Pelodiscus sinensis: one gene and its partners. The protein of the gene in region 1 interacts with the protein of each later gene in a pairwise test. Links are inferred from orthologs where the notes say so. Each region holds a gene or a part of one and is shown in the gene's direction. Other genes may lie near its edges.

Region 1 (7,846 bases):
TTGTGGATGCCCTACATTGACTAAGAGCCCCAGGAAGCACCGGGGAGTAATTACTTTGAATTTCTCTGGGGAGTAGTTATTTCGAAATAGCAGCAGCGGAGCGTCCACACTAAGGCTGTGTCCAGACTCCATGCCTCCGTCGACGGAGGCATGTAGATTAGCCAGCTCGGAAGAGGGAAATGAAGCCGCGATTAAAATAATCGCGGCTTCATTTAAATTTAAATGGCTGCCCCGATCTGCCGATCAGCTGTTTGTCGGCAGATCGGGAGAGTCTGGACGCGATGCCCCGACAAAGAAGCCTTTCTTCATCGACACAGGTAAACCTGGTTTCACGAGGCTTACCTGTGTCGATGAAGAAAGGCTTCTTTGTCGGGGCATCGCGTCCAGACTCTCCCGATCTGCCGACAAACAGCTGATCGGCAGATCGGGGCAGCCATTTAAATTTAAATGAAGCCGCGATTATTTTAATCGCGGCTTCATTTCCCTCTTCCGAGCTGGCTAATCTACATGCCTCCGTCGACGGAGGCATGGAGTCTGGACACAGCCTAACGCTATTTCAAACTAACTGTTTCAAAATAAACATTCCCCATGGAAAGCAGGAGCACAGATTTTGAAATAACCAATCCGTTATTTCAAAATAACGGGCTGAGTAGTGTGGACACTCTGCTTATTATTTCAAAATAAGGGGGTTATTTCAAAATAACTCCCTAGTGCAGGCCAGGGCAGAGTGAGCTCCCTCAGGCCAGCTGTCTTTTTATACAGGCCAGCAGAGCTCTCATTGCTGCCTCAAGCATCCCCCTCATTGGATGTTCAACCCCTTGTTCACCAGTGTGGTTGACCACCCCATTATAGGGATCAATTTAAGGATTGGGCCTTATTTATTAGCCCCCCAGGATAGTGTCCCATATCCTTTCTGCTTTGAAAGGAGCACCAACATATCTATATGCCAATAGACATATTAATATTAAGAATACCTTCTTCACTAAGTGCTCTGAGAAATTTACAATCTTCTTAATTTGGAAAGTCACTAATATATATTAGTATTAGTATTCCCGTACTGTTTTCGATCTAAGGGCCTCACTCTTTTTTGACCTCCTATGTAAAAGAGTACCCTTTCAATCTCTCCTACCACTAATGTTATCTGTTTATCTGTGTAAGTTTTTATCTATCTATATTTAAATAAAAAATATTATTTTTCTTTATGCTGCTTTTCCTGGTCAGGGTCATAGTGGCTGAATAGAGAGTAGGGAGGTCCTTATCTCGTTTTCCTCCCTAACAGGTTCCAGCTCTTCCCAGAGGGTATGTCTACACTACCCGCCTAGTTCGCACTAGGGTGGTTAATGTAGTCATACGGAGTTGCAAATGAAGCCCGGGATTTGAATTTCCCGGGCTTCATTTGCATGATCCCGGCCGGCGCCATTTTTAAATGCAGGCTAGTTCGGACTGTGTGCCGCGCGACTACATGCGGCACAAACTAGCTAGTTCGGATTAGTCTTCCTAATCTGAACTAGCTGTACACCTCATTCCACGAGGCATACAGCTAGTTCGGATTAGGAAGCCTAATCCGAACTAGCTAGTTTGTGCCGCGTGTAGTCGCGCGGCACGCAGTCCGAACTAGCCTGCATTTAAAAATGGCGCCGGCCGGGATCATGCAAATGAAGCCCGGGAAATTCAAATCCCGGGCTTCATTTGCAACTCCGTATGACTACATTAACCAACCTAGTGCGAACTAGGGTGGTAGTGTAGACATACCCAGAGAGATTCCCCAGAATTCTCAGGCTAGAAATATTATCCCTCCAGTATGTCATGGGTTAGCCTTGAGGCCTCTGCCCAATGGGATGTGACTAGTAGAGTTCCAACGGAAGCCTCCTAGATGGCATCCTTATCAGGTGCCCAAACCACATCAACTAGCTTCTCTCAGTCTGAAGGAATAGCAGCTCTACTCCTAGGGCCTCCCAAATAACTGCGCTCCTCACTCTATCTTGGATAGTAAGTCCAGCCACCCTGCAAAGAACCTCATTTCTGTCACTTGTACCCACAATTGGCGAGGGGGTGTAGGGTGTGTGTATGTATATACAAGATGTAAGGTGGGTATTCCACAATATGAAAATAATATTTACATAAAATAATATACTTATAAAAAGCTTTCAGTGTCCTAACACAACTAATACAACCAAAAAACAAACCAACCCCAACATCTTTAAAATAATAATATAACCTACAAAAAAAACCCTCTTCATCAATCTGGGAAGCATGCCCTCAAGTCCTTTCCAAACAGTCTCTCCAATAAATGTATTCTGCAGACCATCTACAAAAGTTGCCAAATTGGGGCTATTTTGGACCAATGTGGGGAGCAAACTCCTATCAAATAGTATCTATGAATTCCTTCTGCAATTATAAAGTGCACACAGTATTTCTCTCTCTCTTGTCATCATTTAGTAGGAACTGGACTTTGTATGAAGTTCTCTCTCTCTTTTAATGCAGTCTTCATACAGGAAGGTGAGGTCAAAGCCATCACTATGTTCCATCTCCTCTGTAAACAAAAGCATCTCTGCCTAACTGATGCTCTATCTACACTCATTTCTATCCTCCTGCTTCCTAATCCTCACAGATCACAGCTAATCACACCATCTCTGTCTTTCCTATCTTTCAAAAGTGCTGCTGTCACCTCTTCTCCTTCGGAAAACACTCTTCTGTATAGTGTCCAGTCTCCATTTCCTCACATTTTGGTTGGTGCACAGAAAATGCATTCTTTATTAGCACTGTTCCTTTAAGAGATACTCATTTTAGTTGGATTTCACTTAAGAGAAAAAAAAATCAAAAGTTCAAGAATAAAGCACAGATAAAAGATATTTCCCCTACAAATGAATTTTTCATAGTGAAGAATTTCACGGAAGGATATGAAATCATGTCCTGTAATTTCATTTCTATTTTGGAGACTAGATATTGTGTTAGATAATACAGATTTTCTTATCCTATACTTTCTGCTGCGACAGAGATAAAAAGCAATTTATTGATGCTAACCTGTCAGAGATGAAAACAAAGAGAGGAAGAGTGTTCCTGATACTGCCTGGAGGATTCTTGAGGTATAGTTGCTCAGGCTTCGCCCATGCTTTGTGGGTGGAGTTGTTTTTCAAAGATGCTGCTAGCTCCTAATCCCCAGGGGGGAATTGTCTCTGTCTAAATACAGGTATGTGTTTATACAGATGCTCGGTGGTGGCTAGCGGCAAACAGTTTGCCATGCAGAATGTCCTGGATACAAACTCCCTGTGCTAAAACCTGTTGGAGGAAGAGATGGTGCAAGTCTTTCCCATTCTCCATCAGCTCAGCTCTTGTAATCTTCAAAGAAGTTTGTCAGGAATGCCACCTTCACACTTTTTCTGGACAATGGCAGGCGTTAATGGTGCAAGAGGTCCCGGGGAATGACAAATCTTCTTGTCCCTTAACACCTCTGATGGTAGGGGGCAGGGCTCCACAGCATTGAGAGCCTGGGACTCATTTCCAGTTTGTCTTATGTTCCTAAAAGCTCATGCCTCAGAGTTTCAGCTGGCCACCTGCAGGATCTGGAAGAGATTTTTCTCCCAGTGTACTTGGGGTCATAAACTCATAAAATACTAGAACTGGAAGAGACCTTGAGAAGTCATCCAGTCCAATCCTCTGCCCTCACAGCAGGACCAAGCACCATCTAGACCAGTGTTTCTGAAAGTGTACCATGGAAACACTTTAATTGGCCTTTCCGGTTTATGTACAGGTGCTACAGCCACGGAGCCTCGCAGCTCCCATTGTTTCCTTTTCAGCCAAGGGGAGCCGCGGGAAGTGGTGTGAGAACCACTGACCTAGCCTCATGTATCCTGTATTCCATCAGCGATCAATGTCAGATGCACTGGCCACTGCCCTCTTACCACTGACCCTTTTACCTGCTCTTGCTCCACAGGCACGTTTCAATTCCTTCAGGCTGTGAGCGTTGAGCATAGGCTGTTCTGATGAACCAGCTCTTGCTTTGATAACTATTTTCAGTATCGCTCCTCCACAAGTGCAGCGGTGAGTCCCATGCACCAGGTGAGATAAATGCCAAGAGAGGGAGCTTAGTTGCGGGGGCAGGGAGGGACTATCAGAGCCACGGTCTCATCTCCAGGTGGGCATCAAAAGCATCTCTTGATTTTGTAAACTTCTGGCGGTTATTTCGGGGAGGGCGGGGGAGAGCTGACTCTCAAATGACCGACATAACAGTATCCAGCTCTCCCCCGCCCCTAGGCTCGGCACATTCAAGTCAATCGCAGCAGGCGGCTCTCAGGGCATTAAGGAATTGCCTTTGAAACCAAAAGCGCGTCTCATCTTCAGCCGCGCGGGCGCTGGCCAGAGCGCAGAGCGAAGGGGATTCATGCTGCGGTGGAAACTCCCTGGGCAGCTCCCCGCAGCCCCGAGACCGCAGGTGCAATTGTGCGTGGGGCTCTGAGGCTGGGGTTCTGCCCCCCCCCGCCCCATCCCGTGCATTACCGGGGCCGCAGCGAGCTCCCTGGCTCTGCAAAGGGGGGCTATACATAGCCATTGGCGCCCGGCTCTGCAGCGACGCTGCCCGCACGAGAGGCTGAAGGGCACGGGGCTAGCGCGCGCCTCACAACCCGCTGTGTGCGCGAGCGACGGTTGGGGGGGATGGAGCGCGCGGCTTAGAACGGGGCGGGGGCCGGGAGAGGAGCGCAGGGCAGCGAGGGGGTTAATGCAGCAGGTAACAGCAGAGGCGCAGGGGGTGGGGGGAGCCGGTGGCTCCGAGGGGCGGCTGGTCGCAGCCCGGGGCAGGTGGGGGAGCTCTCTGAGCAGTTGCCCCCCCCCCCCGGCCCGGGTGGCTGCGGGGCTCTCTGATTGGGCTGCCGGGCGGGAGCGGGAGAGGCGGGCGGCGAGGCGGGTAAGTGCGAGGGGGCGGCGGAGTCCGGCCAGAGCCGGGGGAGCCGCCGCCGCCATGAGCGCCAGAAAGTCCCCGGGGCGCAGGAGGAGGAAAGCGGCGCGTGCCCCACAGGTACAGACCCCCCCTCCCCGGATGGGGGGGGGAGCCGGGGACCCGCCCTGCGCTGCGCGGGGGTGGGGGGAGGCGCCGCCTGCGCTGGGAAGACCCCCCCTCGCCCCTCCCCCACCTGCCCTCTCCTGTAAGACCCGGCGCGGGGCGGGTTCCCAGAGCGCGCGGGGAGGGGGCAACAGCCTTTGCTCCCGCGCCGCCTGGGGAAGCGAGGCGCGGGGTAGCCCCGCAATCACCATGGTGACGGCTTGACTCTAGGCAGGGGGCATGGAGAGACGTTGGGCTTTGAGTGCCCGTAGCGTCCTGTGTGGCTAGACAACGATGGGTAAGCGCCTTGTCTTTACTGTACGGCCTCTTCTATGCAGACAGTGGAGTTCGCTTTAACACCCCCCCCCCCCCACCAAGCCATGGCCAAATCTGCACGGGGTTTGCAGAAATTTCAGAATATAGTAGCACGGGCACGAGAGCTGCTTGCTCACCGTAACAGTGATCAGGATGGAGAAAAGTTATTTTATTTACTGGTTAATCTCTGTCCCCCTCCAGTCACCCACAGCGGCTCAGGCAAAGAGAATCCCGAAAGGTTATTGCAGCAAGACCTTCTGGTCTAGTTACTTTCTCAAGACAGTGGATAGATAGAATGTTTCCCGCAATGAATAAGTTAGGAAGTTTCAGTAAGGGACTATGAAAGCATCACTTATGTTTTGTCGTGCCCCTCCCCCCCCAATAGATCTGATCTAGAAGTTTAGAAAGAAATAGCTAAAAGCAAATTTATCCAGGCTTTGTTAGATACTTTTAACATGTGAAAGGCTAGTTTTGCTTTTTTCATGGCTGGATCCAGTGATTTCTAATTTTTTTATAGCAGCAGACTCTAACCCTTATACAGTATTTTACATCTAATATCTTTCATTGCAATTTGTGATAAATACTATTTATTTTTACATTCAGTAACTGATTTTTATTTTTATGTGCTCATTACTAGGCAATCAGGGTGCATGTGTATTGTCTGTGATATAAAGTGTATCATTACATTTTCTTCCAAAGCATGACCACTTTTTTTAACTGAACCAATTTACCCCATTCATTTTTATAGCGCAATCCTGTTTCTTTGAAATTACCGTATTTTCCGGCGTATAAGACGACTTTTGATGTTAAAAAACATCCCCCCAAAATCGGGGGTCGTCTTATACGCCGGGTATGCGGCTTTGCAAAGCCGCGGAGGGGCTCCGGCGGCGGGGCAGCTCAGGCGCGCCTGGGATGCCCCGCCGCCGGCTTCCCCCGAGGCTTTGCAAAGCCGCGGAGGGGCTCCGGCGGCGGGGCAGCCCAGGCGCGCCGGGGCTGTCCCGCTGCCGGGGCATCCTCAGAGGCTTTGCTCCCGGTGTCCCTGGTCTGCTGGAGACGGTCCCCAGCAGACCAGAGGCACCAGGGGCAAAGCCGAAGCGGCGGCGGGGTGCCGCGCTTCTGAGGCTTTGCTCTGGCAAAGCCTCAGAGGCGCGGGACCCCGCCGCTGTTGCGGCTTTGCTCCCGGTGCCTCTGGTCTGCTGGGGACCGTCTCCAGCAGACCAGGGACACCGGGAGCAAAGGAGGTGGAGGGGCGCTGGGGTATAAGACGAAACCCTATCTTTTAACTAAAAAATTAGGGGATCGTCTTATACGCCCAGTCGCCTTATACGCCGGAAAATACGGTACTGGGGAAATTCAAATTTAATTGGAGTAGACTCAAACTCTTAGGCTATGTCTAAACTATGATCCTCCTCAGCAGGAGGAACTGCAAATGGAGCACTCATTTGCATATATCACACTCTCGTTTGCATTTCCTCCTCGGATTCCTTTTGTGCAGGCGGTTTTTGTGCAAAAAGCACTGTGTAGATGGCTCCTTTTTGCGCAGAAAAACCCTTTTGAGCAAGATCCTTATGCCTCCCGCTGACATAGATGTAGCCTTAATTACTAGCATTTGTCTTATTTTTTAGTTTGTTTAAAATGCTGAATACATGTGGTCAGTTTTGCCATTTTTTATTACAAAAACGTTTCTAATAATTTGACTCTGTAGAGCTGGTTCTCTACTAAATTTGTCGTCCTATAAAATTATAATAATCTACCCACTACTGCCTCAAAGAGTTTGTTGTATGTTTTGAGATCCTTGGGCTTATTACTAATGATTCATTACTAATAATCTTGTTTATTGTGGTGATGCCATAAAGCCAACGAGGCCTCACAGTGATAGCCTCTGCCCTGAAGAGTTTACAGTCTAATGGACAAGATAGTTTTGATTTTTCAGGACTAGATGTAGTGGTTATTTCAGTACTATTCCAGTTGGTAGGTGGAGCTGCACAAATAGACTTTTGGGCTTTTAGGGCACAACTACACTGCAGTCAATTGTATAGCTGAAGTAGAAATAGCTTAATTTGGTCTTTGGCACAGCAGGAAGTCAAAGGAAAAACGTTCTTCTTTCAATTTTGACTTCTCATACTCCTCATGAAATGGGTGTTACAGGAGTCCGAGTAAGAAGTCCTCCATCCCAAAATTATTTTGAAATAACGGCTTGCTGTGTATATGTGCACTTTGTTACTCTGAAATAACATCAGGGTATGTGTACACTAGCCACCCTAGTTCGAACTAGGGTGGCTAATGTAGTCATTCGAACTTGCAAATGAAGCCCGGGATTTAAATATCCTGGGCTTCATTTGCATGTTCCCAGACACCACCATTTTTAAATGCCCAGTAATTTGAACTACCTGCCCGCGGCTACACGCAGCACGGGCTAGGTAGTTCGAATTAAAGCTCCTAATTCGAACTACTGTTACTCCTCCTGCAATGAGGAGTATTATTTAAATCCCG
Region 2 (7,851 bases), on another chromosome or scaffold:
GATTGTACCTTAGCAACAAGACAAGGATTCTTTTGTCAAGGGACCTTGAAGTGCCAACGCACTTTTACACTATTATCATTTTAATTAAACAGAGCTAAATAAAACATGTGTTTTATTATAGCCGTATCAACATGTAGCACAGAGAAGTAAACACTTTGCTGAAAAAATATCTAAAGCATACACAAATTTGAAGAGAGTGCATATAAAATGTAGTTTGGCAAAGTAGTAAAGACAGATTTGGAATAGCAAAAGCTCACTCTTAGTACACAAGCACTTGTTATAAAGTGTTTGGGGAATAAGGGATAGCAACAGCGAAGAAGTGATTTTCAAAGTAATGATATACTGTGAATGCTACACAGTATATGAGAACTTTTCACTAGGATACAGCACACTGGAATCCACTCCACATTACATTGTTGCCAAGTTAGTCACCCAATGTGTTAAAATGCAATAACATTTTTTGACTAATTTTTAGTGATGTTTGACAAAGAGTGATAGCAGCAGACAGATGATTGAGTGAGACAGCCCTGAAATGTTGACAAGTGGAGGACTGGAGTAACATGTACTAAAATATGAATGGTCTGGTATCAATGTTAGGGTCCTCAGTTCAGAGCTGGAGCAGAAGTGATGTTTTTAGAAAGTAAGTTTTGTCAGTGAGATGGCTGAGAGCTAACACACAGAAACTGTCTCTAAGCTAACTGCAATAAAGTGGAGGGACTGAAAGGAAGATAATTTCACCTGCCTATTATGTACTCGTTTAAGACCAAGCATGGATTATTTTCATTACTCTCTATTTACAACCCAGGACAAAAGATGGGGGGGAACAAATATTTCTCCCCAAAGCCACAGATGCATAACAGCCCTAACATGTTCTAATTTTACACATCATTGTAGCCACTTTTCTGATAAACTGATTTGCAGTTTGAAGAAGGCTAAAATACCCACAACAACATTTATAGCTTTTTGTATTGGATATTAGCGTGGAAGTAAGGTTCTTAATTTCATTTTGATCACTAGATCCCTTTCCAGTCATACCCTTTCCTGATATTGATGGGAATCCTGAAGCATCTTAATGGTCTCTTTCTTTTCTGTCTTAGTTGTTTTAATGGCTACCATACCAAGTGTGTGTGCCATACTACAGTGAGGTAAGGAAGTACAGGTTGAACCTCTAATCTGGTACTTTCTGGTCCAGCAACATCTGTGGCCCATCATGATTTTAGTTAGCCAGATATCCACTTATTATGGATGTGGCCAACTTTCCCACAGTTCCATAAAGTTTGTTTACAGCCACCAGTCCTGGCTCTCAGTGTTCCATGCTGCTATTTAGTTCTAATTTATCCTTAAATGTGTTCTAAGAGTCCAGTATGCAGTGGCAGTGTTAGTAAGCTGCTAAACAACATTGGTCTCCCCTGGTATGGCAAATTCTCTAGTTCTACACCAGTCAGGTCCAGAGGGTGCCAGATCAGGGAGGTTCAACCTGTACTATTATAGCCATGTAGCTAAAATGTAGCTTTATGCTAAGTAATGTGACTTAGTGTACTTTGCCAGCCACCCTTTCTGAAAGCAGAAAGGACCTTTTACCTTACCTTTATTGTAAAGGTGCACCAGCCAGAATATTGTGTCTAAAGTTGATTCTAAGGCACAGATAATTTTGTTTTTGTTTTAAAATTAGTATTGTGAAATAAGTGAAAAGGGTGACTTTTTAAAAAAATATATATTTTATTTCCTTGTTTAAATGTGCACATTGCTTCTCTGTAGCAAAGAAATCAACCTTGTTATGTGTAAGACAGTGAGGAATGTATGAGAGATAAGTGCGAAGGTCACCATACCAAACGTTCTAGGAAAAAAACAAGAACAGACGTAAAAATGCCGAAGATTGCTGCATATCCCCATCAAGATGTAAGCAATGGGCAAATCGACAGCTCTGAAAGAAGGCAAGCATTTATCAATTGGGACAAAATATTAGTGATCAAAATGAGCTTAGCATGGCAGAACAAAAATGATAAGGAGCAAGAGAAACAACTGGATATAATAAACATGTCAGAAAAACACCATGACGATGCAAACCCCATTGATCCTGATGGAAAAGGAGAACTGTTTCGCCGTAAGAGCAGGGACGTCTTGCCAAAGACTGGAGCATTGGTCTGGACCGATAGACCCCTCCCCCCCCCGCTCCTCCATCCGTCATCAATCTGGCTGGGCACAGACCATGGAGTGGTAAATATAACACTGATTGGTGGGACAGCGTGCGTATATGTGTCTGTCTATGTAAGCATATGCTAATTGCTTTGCCATTATATTCTCAATAAACGTGGCATATTGGCTTTTCCCCTGAAAAGACCCAATGTACTTCTTATAAGCATAACACACTATGATCAAGCAAAATGCAGGACAATGTAGCACTTTAAAGACTAACAAGATGGTTTATTAGATGATGAGCTTTCGTGGGCCAGACCCACTTCCTCAGATCAAATAGTGGAAGAAAGTAGTCACAACCATATATACCAAAGGATACGGTTGTGACTACTTTCTTCCACTATTTGATCTGAGGAAGTGGGTCTGGCCCACGAAAGCTCATCATCTAATAAACCATCTTGTTAGTCTTTAAAGTGCTACATTGTCCTGCATTTTGCTTCAACTACCCCAGACTAACACGGCTACATTTCTATCACTACACTATGATCACAATTTTTCAAAGAGAACTGAGGCCCAAAGAGACCAGAGTCCATGATCACTAAAGACGACTGTGGCAAAGCATCAAATTGAACCAAGGAATCCCCAGTTCTAAGCTAGCACCTTAACAATTGAACCCGATTTTCCTCTTTACCATCAGCATCTCCCAAGACCAAGGACAATTACAAGTCACTCACTTTTAATAGTTTCTGACTAAATATAAACTTCCTTCTTTTAGAGACCAAACTGTTTCAGAAATTACTGAGTGTCCAGCAACCCAGCTATTATGATAGACTTAGTTAATACTTTTTTTTATAATACCAAGTTCACATCACAGTGTGGTAGAAGGAACAATTTAAAATTACACAAGGTAGCACAACTTATCTGTTGGGTCTGTTCATGCATGGATAAATTATGAAGGCACATTCAAAGTATTTTGAAAAAAAATGGGCTATACACACCATAATGCAAACTTATAGCTCTGATCATACATTTGATTTGTGATTTCTTTTTTCTTAAAATAAAAATGCAATTATTGTACAACTCCAATTGTTTTATTGTGTACCACCGGCCACAAAAACCCATGATACCATCTATATTTTTTGTTTGTCTCTAAGGTGCTGCAGATCTATACGTTGATTTTTAAAAATTTTTACCACAAGCTAATGTAAATTCTCAGCTCATCTATTTCTATATTTTACATTGTATTTATATTCCACAGCTAATATGATACCATGCAAAGTATGTGTAAGCTAGTTTATATGGGCTAACACTGTTTAAGAATTCCAAGGACATTAAATTTGCAAATTATTACCGTAAGTTTTACTTACTGTCAAGTTTGCACTATAATAAGTGATTGACATTATATATCAGAGATGCCAAATAATGCTTCATTTAAGACAATGCTTTACACGCTTGCTTTACACGCTGAATTGTTACCTCTCATCAAATCACAGTTCCTATGAATATGGAGCGTGTTGTACATGAGCTATCGATTGGCAGGTGTGTAACGATTTATCTTCATGAAGCATCAGTACACACAATAGGTGACCTAGTCCTCATTGTGGCCTCCATTATGCCCTTTATTTAAAAGCAAGTTCAAGGGAAATCTAATTGGTTTCCAGGATTTTCTTTCCTTAAGAAGTTTTTCTAATCAAACTCTTTCTCCCAATCCTTCCTTTCCTGTGTACAGAGCAAGATGTTCCTATTAACATGTCCCAGCGAAGAAGGCCAGGACGGGGCGGGTGGGCTGAAGAGGCCCGGCAGGAGGGAAATCCCCCCAGCGAAAGGGGCAGGTGGGAAAGCCAAGCGGGCTCGGGGAAGGAGCTGAGCCCGAGAGATGTGTCCCCCTCCCCCAGTCAGGGAGCGCGCCAGGCCAGAAGACGGGGCGCCCCGCGGTACCTGTTGTTGCGGACGCTGCTCAGCACACACAGCACCAGCTCCAGGTAGGTCCTCAGCAGGTCCAGCCAGCGGGGGCAGAGCGGCGTTTCCCCCTCGGCCGCCGCCCCCTCGCAGACCCCCCCGCCGCCGCCGCCGCCACCGCTGGGGTAGTTGTCGGCGGCGAACTGGACGCGCAGCTCCCGCACGAACCAGCCGCACTTGCGCATGAGGAAGTCGAGGCGCGGGCGCTCGGCGGGAGAGACGCAGAGGCTGAGGCGCAGCCGGGGCCACAGGGCCGGGTAGAAGAGACACTCCCGCCAGTGCGAGCAGGCGGCCGAGGCCCGCAGCCGGTCCGGGCCCGCCAGGAACGAGAAGATGTGAACCACCAGCTCGCTGGGCAGGGAGCCGGCGCCCACCGCCTCCCCGCACACCGCCATGCCTGGCGCCGGCCCGAGCCCCGCTGCTGCAGCCCCAGGCCGCGGCCCCGGCCTCGCCTCCTGCGACAAAAACAACAACATCAATGACAAGGCGGAGGGGGTGGGGGCCGGCCGAGACTCGGCTACTGCCGGGGCAAACCACCGCACCCGGCCGCGGGGGGAGGATAGTACCTACCACCGAGTTCGGGGGGGGGAGGGGAATGGATCCTACCAACTAACTGGAAGACGGGGGTGGCACCATATCTGTATTCAGCTTTGCGGGATTATGGAGGCTACCATTGACCGGAGAGGGAGAGGGGCAAGGAATTACCAGAGAACTCAACTCAGCCCCTTGGGAAGAGTTCCCGACCACCTCACTCAGAGAGAGAAATGGAAACTACCTTTAGACTCAGCTGTGGAAGAGGATGGAACATACCATCAAGCACAACTGGGAGGGGGGTGCAGCTGGCAGGGGGATGGAGGCAACTCCCTCCAGAATCATGTCTTGAGTGGGGAGAGATCATCAAACTGGCACGTTCCCCTGGGGAACAGAACAGGGCACCACTCAGAACAACCAGGCCAAGTTGCATCACAGCTGGGATCTCAAAGTCAAATGCCCAGGTCTGGCTCAATTCTGCAAATCCATCAATCTTCAAGTCAGCTCCATAGGCAAGGTCAGGTAGGATCAAGGTGTGAACCCTTTTGCACATTGATGGAGAAATAGTGTGTTGGGGTGTCTCTGTTCATCCTGAAGAAGTGGAAGAACATAAAATACTGCTTTTGAATGTAGTGAGTGATTGAAGGAATGCCAGTTAGCTGTGAGGTTATGGCATTTTGCATAAAATTGAATCACTGTATGCTCAAGATTTGGAGCATATGGAATGCATCTAACTGCACCATCTACTTGTAAGAGGTTTCAGGTTTCTGACCCATATAGTGATTAGGGATCTGAACGGGTAACTGGTTAACCAGTTACCTGGTAAGCATCACTGTTTACAGATAACCCTTTAATGGTAATAGCTAACTGTTAGCCCACAAGGGCTGGGAGTTCCACAGCCTCGCACAGGGCATGGGGTGGGAGGGGGAAGAGCTGCCAGCTCCCAACCTGTGTAGGCTTACAGGCTCAGAGCCAGTAGCTCAGTGTGGGGTTTTAAGCAGCTGGACTGGAGCAGCCCTTGCTCCAGTCCAGCTGTGGTGGTGGTGGTGGGGGGGCAGTCTAGCCCAGCAGGATGGAACGGCTCCCCCACCTGCCCCCATTTAATCAGTTAACTGGATAACTTAATGGTTCTAGTGGTCCAGCTCCAAGATTTTGGACCTCAGTCTTTTGCATGAGATGTTCAAGTCCACAGTATGGGCAGCATCTTGGAAATATTGAAAGACGATGTGCTGGAGGTGCAGTCACAGAAGTCCCCTTGGGATTGTTCTCCGTGTGCCAATCATGCCATTGACATCCACTTTTTTGCTCTCTGGGGCTCCCCACCACCGTGTTCTCTAGGCCAGATCCTCTGGTCTCCCCCAGACAAAGCACAGAGTTGGGGTAACTGCCCTCCTGCAGAGCAATGCAGACACTAAATCACTTCAACTCTGGGAGGATGAAGTTCTAGGGCACAGCACTCAGGAAATCAACCCCCAAAATAGCTCAAACCCCCAAATAAATCTGTCTTTCTCAGTGTAAAAGTTTTAAACAGGGAAAACTCATGAGGATTTTCACCCTCTTTATCAATGAACGAGAGATATGCACAATGGTTGTTGTCTCTGGGTAACAATTATTCCCCTAGGCCTGATAGTAAACAAAACTGTTTTTAAGTACTAACAGTAAGATTTTAGTAGTTGCGAGTGATAACAGACAGATCAAAGTGAGTTACTAAATTAGAATGAAAAGAAAACACATAGCCAATTCTAATTCACTAAGAAACTTATCACAAGCAGATAAATGACTTCTCTTATTTCAGGCATAATCTTCAAGTCAGAGACAAGCTCTTTTACTCTGACTTGGGTCTCCAGTCCTCTTTGCATGCCAGGCCATTCCCCAGGCCAGCCAAAGACAAATGGCTGATAGCTTCCTATTGCTTAAACAGACTCTCCCACAGGGCGGGAATCTTTTGTTTTACATCCCCTCCCCATCCCTGGAAAAATATCAAGTTAAAAAATGGATCCCAGTATCACATGGTATGGTCACATATTTTCCTAGGACCAGCCACCTTCAGAACTTAAAGTACAAACAAGGCTATTTACTAGTAGTTAACTTGATCACCAGGTCATTAAGGTTTGTGGAGGGAAAGGTGGAAGGCACCAGTAATGGCTCTCATTAGCACTTTTTAAACTATAGTTTCATACTTCATATTTTTAGCTTCACATACAAGAAAGAAACATGCAACATAATAATATATACATATCCAGCAGATTTAACCTAGGAATTTTAATGTTACATGAGATATTTTGTCCAGTGCATCTTTAAGTTAGGGAGAACAGCAAATTAGAGACAATGGATTTCAGTAAGGCAGATTTTGGTAAACTCAGAGAGCTGGTGGGTAAGTCCCATGGGAGGCAAGACTGAGGGGAAAAACAACTGAAGAGAGTTGGCAGTTTTTCAAAGGGACATTATTAAGGGCCCAAAAGCAAGCTATTCCACTGCATAGGAAAGATAGAAAATATGGCAAAAGACTGCCTTGGGTTAACTGGGAGATCTTGCATGATCTAAAAATAAAAAAGGAGTCTCATAAAAAATGGAAACTAGGACAAGTTACAAAGGATGAATATAGGCAAACAATACAGGAATGCAGGGGCAAGATTAGAATGGCCAAGGCACAAAATGAGTTCAAACTAGCTACAGGCATAAAGGGAAACAAGAAGACATTCTATAAATATATTAGAAGCAAGAGGAAGACCAAGGACAGGGTAGGCCCATTGCTCAGTGAGAAGGGAGAAACAGTAACAGGAAACTTGTAAATGGCAGAGATGCTTAATGATTTCTTTGTTTTGGTCTTCACTGAGAAGTCTGATGAAGGAATGCCTAACATAGTGGATGCTAGTGGAAAGGGGGTAGATTTAGAAGATAAAATTAAAAAAGAACAAGTTAAAAATCACTTAGAAATGTTAGATATCTGCAAGTCACCAGGGCCTGATGAAATGCATCCTAGAATACTCAAGGAGCTGATAGAAGAGGTATCTGAGCCTTTAGCTATCATCTTTGGAAAATCATGGAAGACGGGAGAGATTCCAGAAGACTGGAAAAGGGCAAATATAGTGCCCATCTATAAAAATGGAAATAAAAACAACCCAGGAAACTATAGACCAGTCAGGTTAACTTCTGTGCCAGGAAAGATAATGGAGCAAGTAATTAAGAAAATCATCTGCAAACACCTGGAAGGTAATAAGGTGA
Region 3 (7,876 bases), on another chromosome or scaffold:
GAGGCAGAGGTCAATCTGAGTGACAAGCTGACGGCCATCCAATTGCAACAACTTAAGAGCCTCCTTCGCCGATACGGAGCGGTGCTCACAACAAGACCGGGCCGCACATCTTTGGGGTGCCACTGGATAATCACCGAAGTGGGCCAGATGGTACAAGAGCCACTTCGACCCCTGCCACGTAAAATGTGGAAGACGGTATGAGACGAAGTACAGCTGATGCGACAAAGGGGCGTGATCGAGGAATTGCAAAGCGAGTGGTGTAGCCCCATTGTCCTGGTGCCCTGATGGAACCACTCAGCGTTACATCGACTTTCAGTGAGTTAATGCTATATCTCGTTTCGATGCCTATCCGATGCCTCACGTTGATGAGTTCCTGGATCAGTTAGGACACGCCAAGTATTTATCCACCCTCGACCTAACAAAGGGGTTCTGGCAAATCCCCCTGGAGCCAGAAGTCAGAGATAAAACAGCGTTTTCCACCCTGTTCGGGCTATTCCAGTTCAGGATGATGTCCTTCAGTTTCCATGGGGCAGTGGCCACCTCCCAGCGAGTGATGGACCAGCTGCTGGCCCCGTACTGAGCCTTTGCCGCCATCTACAGCATCATCATCTACAGCAGCAGCTGGGCAGACCACCTACGCCATGTTGAAACCATACTGGCAGCTCTGGGAAAAGTGGGCCTGACGGCGAACCCAAAGAAGTGCCACCTAGCCAAAACAGAGGTATCGTACTTGGGGTACACCGTGGGGCATGGGGGGAGGAGAGAGTTGAAACCCCTGGTGAGTAAAATGCAGGCCCTAGAAAATATACACAGCCCTGAAGTCAAAGAAGCAGGTGAGAGTTCCTAGGACTGGCCACTATTATAAGAGATTCATCCCCGCCTTTGCCACAACAGCGGCACCACTGACAAAGCTCACAAAAACCACAAAACACAAAACTCACACGGGTGCAATGGACCCCGCAAGTAGAACAGGCCTTTGAGACATTAAAAAAACACTTGTCTAGTGCGCCGGTATTAATACAGCCGGAGTTTGAAAAACCTTTTCTTCTTTACACAGACGCTTCCCAAGTAGGACTAGGAGTGGTGCTGGCGCAGGAACACCAAGGGGCTGAACACCCACTTCTATATGTGAGCCGGAAACTCCTGCCCCGGGAGCAAAATTACGCTACGGTGGAGAAAGAAGCATTAGCTGTAAAATGGGCAGTGGAGTTCCTATGGTACTATTTATGGGGAAGTAAATTCCAATTAATAGCAGACCAAGCCCCGTTAGTCTGGCTCAACTCTATGAAAGACACACACATGCATATTATGGGATGGTATTTAGCCTTGCAGCCATGTGACTTAGAGGTAAGCTACCGCCCCGGCAATAGGCACCAGAATGCACACTTTTTTCAAGAATATGGGACAGCGACGAGGGGGAGTGCCAAGAGCCTCCAAGGCGGGAGGTGTGTTACGGGCCAGTGAAGGCCCACACTGAAACCAGCCGGGTGCTGATTCCGGCCCCGGCGGCAGGGCGCGGCCAAGCAGCCTGCGCCGAACCCCATGGGGGGCGGGACTCCCGCACCTCAGGAGACAGTGGCAGTCAGTGGTGGGGGGCAGTCCGTGGCACCCCAGACCGGGGACATAACCCCACCCCCTTCGGCCTGACAAACTGCACAGAGTGACGTGACCTCCGGCGGGAGGTTCAAAAGCCGCCCAGGAGGCAGAACCTGGGGGAGGACCGCGGGGAAGCAATTCCTTCCCCCCTGTTGGAGTCAGGAGGCTGGGACCCCGGAAAACCAGGGCTCGCATTGGAATGGTAAGTCCCGGCGTACAAGGCGCTCTTTTGGCGCCCGTGTGCTGATGTGTTACGGGGTGGGACACCGTCAGCTGAGTAAAGGTAGTACCCGAACCCCATAGGGCCCCGGGCTGGGACCTGGTGGAGGGGGCGGGCCCGGGTTCCCCTAACCCCACCTTATTACCTCGCATAGCAAATGCATAATCCTACTTGAGGTCATGAGGGCAGCCGCCCCAGTGAGATGTAATTATAGACAGCTGGCCCCGGTAGGGGGTTGAAGGACCATGTGATTCCTTGACCGCAGGGCTCACTGGGCCCCGCTCAACCCCAAAAGGAGGTGAGTTGGAGAGCTCGTGCCTGTCTAACTGCCAGACCCCGGGTTTCAAGACGGTGGACTCGCTGGGCCCCACCCTAATGCAGGGGTGGGAGCTCGCGCCCAGACATAATCTGTCACACAGACCATAGAATCCTTCCAAGACACTCGGGGCAGCAGTGTGGAGGACAGTTTGGTGCTGGAGGAGGAGGAGGAGGAGATTAGCTAGCCTGTCGGTGATATGAGAGAAAAATTTTTTATAACCTCAAACACAATCCCCTCCTTCCAGGACATCTCACATTTGGGCATTTCTGGTATCTTCACATTTTTTTCTTGCTACAAGAGAGTTAAGGTAATGGGTGTGATGTGTGGCATAGCGTAGGGAGCCTAGAAGAGTCTGTTTAAATTGTCTGGAAATGGAACAGGACTCCTCCCTGTTTTTCTCCACGGGAAATATTTGATCCTTCTCACAAGGTTTCCGAGGACTGCCTTATCCTGTCCTCCACAGTAGGCAGTGGTGGCCCGTCAATACAGGCGAACTAGGCAGTCGCCTAGGGCATCAAGATAAATGGCTGTTGAGGGCTCTGGAGGCGGGGGCGCCGATCGCGCGCTGATTGTGAGCCAATCGCACACTTCACGTAGGGCACCAGTTGCTGTCTAGGGCTGCTCCTGACAGTAGGATATGTTCCCATGCCAAGCCACCAGAAAATGGTTTGGCATCATTGCAGTATAAAGTATGACAGCATAAGGCCCAGGTTTCTGGCCACATTTAGTCAGCATGTGCTCCCTGTTGCTCTGTGTGATTCAGAGAGAGACTGATATCTAACGTAGCAACCTGGAGGAAGGAGAGGAAGCTATTAGCTGCTGCCAGCATGGCTCCAGCCTCTGCCCCCCCACTTCCTGCTTCCTATTGATCTCAAGCAAGGGAGGGGAGTAAGCAGATGAGTGCATTATGAGAGGCTGCTAACATGAACCCAGAACCACCTGCTACACAGTTTTGATCCAGAGTGCACTGGGAGCATAACTCAGACTGTGAAATGGCACAGGCACTGTGGGATAGCTACCCAAAGTGTATCACTCTCAAAGTCAATGACAGTCTTCCTAATGGGGACATGCTACTTTTAAATATATTGAATTCTTGCACACAGTGGGTACATGGATCTTCGACTTTACAAAATCAGGTGGTAAGAAATCAACCTTAATAAATTCAACCTTATCTTGTAACGTAGACATGGCCAAGTCTAACACAGTACATTCAGAAACTGACAATATATGCCTACTAAATGGTTTCATTACCACTTGAATGGCTCTTTCAAAGGTTCAATATTCTGCTAATAAGTCTGGCAAGCCTTTTCACTTTTAAGTTAAGTATATCTTCTCTGGAAGGAGACTCAGAGCCACAGATCAAGAATAGGAAGAGGTGGGTAGAATGGATATTAAACCCAATGATGCCACCCATTTTCTGGTGCCCTATGAAGTTGCGTATTTAGCATATGTGTACGAATGGCCCTGAGTACAGCAGCTTTCTGCTCACCAACATCCAAGTGTGCCGCACATATGTATGTGAGAGGGTTATAGTAACATGAGAAAGTGAGAATGAGGAGATGTGCAAGGCATAATAATGGAAGAGCCCTATAATGGGTCATGTGACCCTACTGAATCCTCCCCAAAAAGCTTGCATCAGAAACTGCACATTCAGTGACAACTTGCTAATTGAAACTACAAAGGCTAGTTGGCAAAATGTGATGATAAAACCAATGCCTGTTTGATATAATTGAAAACAGTCTTATTTATATGTATTATCTCTCTACATATTATACATGGCTGTTGAAGGGGGATGGGGTGCAGAGTTACCTTGTAGTTAGGATTATGACAGCTTTGCTTTGTGATGGTGATTATGGAACACTTTTTGTTAATATTTGAAAGTGGTAACCCTATGCTGTGCAGGCCCATGGGGCTGTGAAGTGTTCCCTTCTATCATGAGTCTCATGCTAATTATTTGTCTCCTTAACACCCCAGTTCCTTCAGTCAAGTGGATATGAGATTTCAGCCTTTAATCTTAAAGAAAAAATAAGTTTCTAGCCCTTGTGGCTGTGAAGAAAGCTGCAAAGGTGATCACAATGCACCTGAAAGACTCAGAATGCAGAAGGCAAATAAATAGCTATTATTTTTACATCACCTAGAAATGTTAAAGCCAATCTCATGGATTTTTGGTGAGGCTGAGTCATGATTTTTGAATCCTAGGTCTGGAAGAGACCTCAGGAGGTCACTGAGTCCAGCCCCCTACCCAAAGCAGGACCAACCCCAACCAAATCATCCCAGCCAGGGCTTTGTCAAGCCAAGACTTAAAAACCCCTAGAGATGGAGATGCCATATGGGGGATGAAGGGGGGGGGAGCAGAGGGAGGGCAACACCTGTGGCGGGGCTTAGAGGACGGGCAGAGGCAGGGAGTGCATAGCCCGAGCCATATTGCCTGAGCCACCTGGCATCACCACGCACCTGGGCAGTCCCAAGCCACTTGGCGTGGCTGCTCACCTGAGCCCTGCTCCACCCGGGACCGCGCCCCGCATTGCCTGAGCCCCACGCCTGCGCTCACAGAACCTCCTGAGCCCTCCCACCTCACTGAGCTGGGCCCGGCTCCTCCTGCTCCCACCGCCCCGCCCCGCCCCGGGCACACTGGGCTATCGCTCCACTCACTCGCCCAATGATCAGAGCCGCTGCCCAGAGGACTCGCGGCAAGTGCCAGATCTGCCGCGGCTCAGGCCACGCGGGACGGGGCTTAAAGAAGCGGGGGCGGAGCAGACTAGGCCCGACCAGACGCCGAGGGTCACCCTCGCCACAGGCTGCGCGCGGCGGGGGCGGGGCATACAGGCCTTCGGGGCGGCTGCGCGCAGGCGTTCGGCAAGGGCAGCCCGGAGGGGCCCTGGCGGTGGCGGCGGGGTCCTCGCGCGGCTGGCTGAGGGGCCGAGCCGGGCGGAGCGGCGGCGGCCGGCGCGAAGATGGCGGACGTGCTGAGCGTGCTGCGGCAGTACAACACGCAGAAGAAGGAGATCGTGGTGAAGGGGGACGAGGTGATCTTCGGCGAGTTCTCCTGGCCCAAGAATGTCAAGACCAACTATGTCATCTGGGGGTGAGTCGCGCGGCCGCGGCAGGGGCCCCGCCTGCGGGCAGGGGGTGGAAGCTGCCCGAAGTTGCTACCGCTGAGCGGGGAGGCGTGAGTGGGGGCGGGGGAGGCGGCCCTTCGGGGGTCCCGTCTGCGCGGCGGGCTCTGCTATGTGCCGGAGCCCGCCGGCCTCCCCCCGCCGGCCGCGGCTGGTTTGTTTGTTTGTAGTTTCTCCTGCAGCTCCCGGGGGCCCGCAGCTGGACGCGGCCCCTTGTTTTCTGGTGCAGGGAGGAGGGTGTCCCGGCTGGGGTGGGCGTGTGGCTGTACCTCTTCGCGGAGGGTCGCGCCTCTCGCTGGTCTGTCCCCCTCATTTCAACTCACTCGGCTTTTCCAGCTCGGAGATTCAGCCAGCCGGAGAGAGCCGATCTAGCCTCCGGGAGGAAAACTGCCAGGGGAGTTAGCCAGAGAGTTATGTCCATTTCGGGTGTTCGGGTTTTACACATCTGCACTAATGAGGGCACGTTATAGATGAGGGCTGGTGGCTGGCCCGAGCGTTGTCTTTTTCTGACTTAACTAGAAGATTGGTAATAAAACAGCTTCTAAGATGCTTGTTACTTCCTTTCAGTAGGAGGAAATAACCCTAAGGTTTCTGTATTCTTTGCTCATTTTGTTAGTTACCTTTTCATGAGACTTTGTTTCCAGACTCTCCTCTTCTCCTTGTGTGGTATGTGCAGTTGGATCCAGAGAGAAAATGATCACCCCTGGATCTTTGCTCAGTTTTGGGGGCATCACTGCAATTTATTAGGCCATATAGATCTATCCTTAGTGGAGCGTTCTCCTTGCTGTAAGACTAAAATAGTCTGTCAACTTTTCTAGGAGATAACCTATTGTAAACAAGTGTGTTCACAATTCAAATAACTCCCCAGATACAGCGTGTGTCTGTTTTTAAAAGTGTTATCAAAATGTTAGAACATTTTGTAGCCTGACAATACTACACGGCTGCAGGAGAGGGGCTGCTCTAATCTGGGTGGGCCACTTGCATGCTGCAGATGGAGGGGCCTGCTTTAGGGTTAATCAGTTAAACATAGCATTTAATTTGCCAGCTTTTTAACCAAATTAGTTTGCCGAGCTGGAGATCAAAGGGAGCTCCATACGAAGGGAAAGGGGAAGTAAAGATCTTCTGAATTAGGGAAAGAACATTAAATTTGTCAGCTACATGACTAGAGGTCAAGAATTCTCTAATAGTGGTGGCCCAAACTTTCAGAATTCAAAAGTAACCATCATAGTGCAATGGTGGGCAACACAGGCTAGTGAGTGGGCCACATGAGCGGTCTTCCTTCAGACTGTTGAAACGAAAACAGTCTCCCAGGATAGTGCAGTTAGAAAAACTACTTTTACATACCTAGAATTCAGGGAGGGAGGGGGGTGACAGAATCATAGCACTGCTTTGATTGGATGCAGAAGGAGTGCACGACTTTCACAGTCAATGTTATATGTAGTCAGTGCACACCTCACTTTGTGGGCCCTTGCTTTAAGCTAGGGATATAAGAGTTTAACAGATTAATGGGTAAGCATTATCTTATCAGTTAATCTCCTGGCCATGGTCAGGAATCCGCAGGTCTGGCAGCCTGCAGAGCATTTAAACGTGTAACCGATTGAAATTTATTATCCTTCTTTTAATGTGTTAAAAAATCTGCTTGAGTTGCACTTTCTCTCTCTCTCTCTCTCTCTCCCCCCTCCTCGCTCCCTCCCTCCCTCATAAATTCTCCTAAAATAGATAATTCCTAGTTAAGGGAAAGAGTGGTTGCTTTAGACATCTTTTCAGATATTAAATTTGTAGTGGTGTCTTGAGCAAACAAGGAGACAGTTTGGGGGTGTCTCCTGCTCAGAGTTTTCCTGGAAAGCAGCCAGTAAAATTTAACAAGGCTATGACAGTCTGTGACAGTAACACTACTGACAGTATATAACACTAACAGCATAGAAATGTAGGGCTGGAAGGGTCCTTGAGAGGTCATCTAGTCTTGTTCCAGGTTCTGAGGCAGGACCAAGTAAGTCTAGACCATCCCTAATAGGTGTTTGTCCAACCTGTTTATAGAAGCCCTGAATAATGTGGGTTCTGCAACCTCCTTTAGAAGCCTGACTCAGTTTTTAATTTTTCATATAGTTAGAAGGTTTATCTGCCTATCTAACCTACATTTCTTTTGCTAAAGGTTAGGTCCATTACTACTTTTATTACTTTCAGTGACCTGGAAAACAATTGATCACAGTTCTCTCTATAACAGATCTTAATATATTTGGAGACTTATCAAGCCCGGCTTCAGCCAGTTTTTAAACTTTTCCTCACAAGTCACATTTTTGAAAACTTGTGTCATTTTCTTTAAACTCTCTTTAGTTTGTCCAACCTGAACTCCGGACTAGTGTTCCTTCTAATTTATGATGTCCATTTGTTGAATGATTTGTTACATGCACCAATATGGAGATGATGTATGACAAATTACCTCCATATTGGTGCACTAAACAAAATTCATTCTGCCTATGGACAGTCTGTGGGATTTGGAGTGTCGGAGGGGCTCAGGATTGGGTAGGATGTGGGATTTAGCTTGGGGTGTAGACTCTGGGGTGGGGCTGGAGATTAGGCATTTGGGGTACAGGAGAGGGATCCAGGCTGGGTCCATGGGCTTTT

What was found.
Region 2: the proteins of TSGA10 (region 1) and ZNF410 interact in binary tests that used the Homo sapiens proteins (3 or more experiments, as listed by UniProt). The two-hybrid records come from large-scale screens. The link is inferred for Pelodiscus sinensis from reciprocal best matches to the Homo sapiens genes TSGA10 and ZNF410.
Region 3: the proteins of TSGA10 (region 1) and CDC73 interact in binary tests that used the Homo sapiens proteins (3 or more experiments, as listed by UniProt). The two-hybrid records come from large-scale screens. The link is inferred for Pelodiscus sinensis from reciprocal best matches to the Homo sapiens genes TSGA10 and CDC73.

What each region holds. Positions count from the first base shown.
Region 1 is NC_134711.1:229,168,137-229,175,982, reverse strand, and holds the start of TSGA10 (testis-specific gene 10 protein), read left to right. Parts: upstream 1-4,779; 5' UTR 4,780-4,957; coding exon 4,958-5,014; intron 5,015-5,104; exon of another isoform or gene 5,105-5,336; intron 5,337-7,846. UniProt on the Homo sapiens protein: Plays a role in spermatogenesis. When overexpressed, prevents nuclear localization of HIF1A.
Region 2 is NC_134714.1:45,158,229-45,166,079, reverse strand, and holds the start of ZNF410 (zinc finger protein 410), read left to right. Parts: upstream 1-4,780; 5' UTR 4,781-5,143; exon of another isoform or gene 5,144-5,159; intron 5,160-7,851. Other genes in the region: FBXO33 (F-box only protein 33), read right to left, coding at 4,075-4,571. UniProt on the Homo sapiens protein: Transcription factor that binds to the sequence motif 5'-CATCCCATAATA-3', and is specifically required to silence expression of fetal hemoglobin in adult erythroid cells.
Region 3 is NC_134719.1:49,814,314-49,822,189, reverse strand, and holds the start of CDC73 (parafibromin), read left to right. Parts: upstream 1-4,875; 5' UTR 4,876-5,089; coding exon 5,090-5,220; intron 5,221-7,876.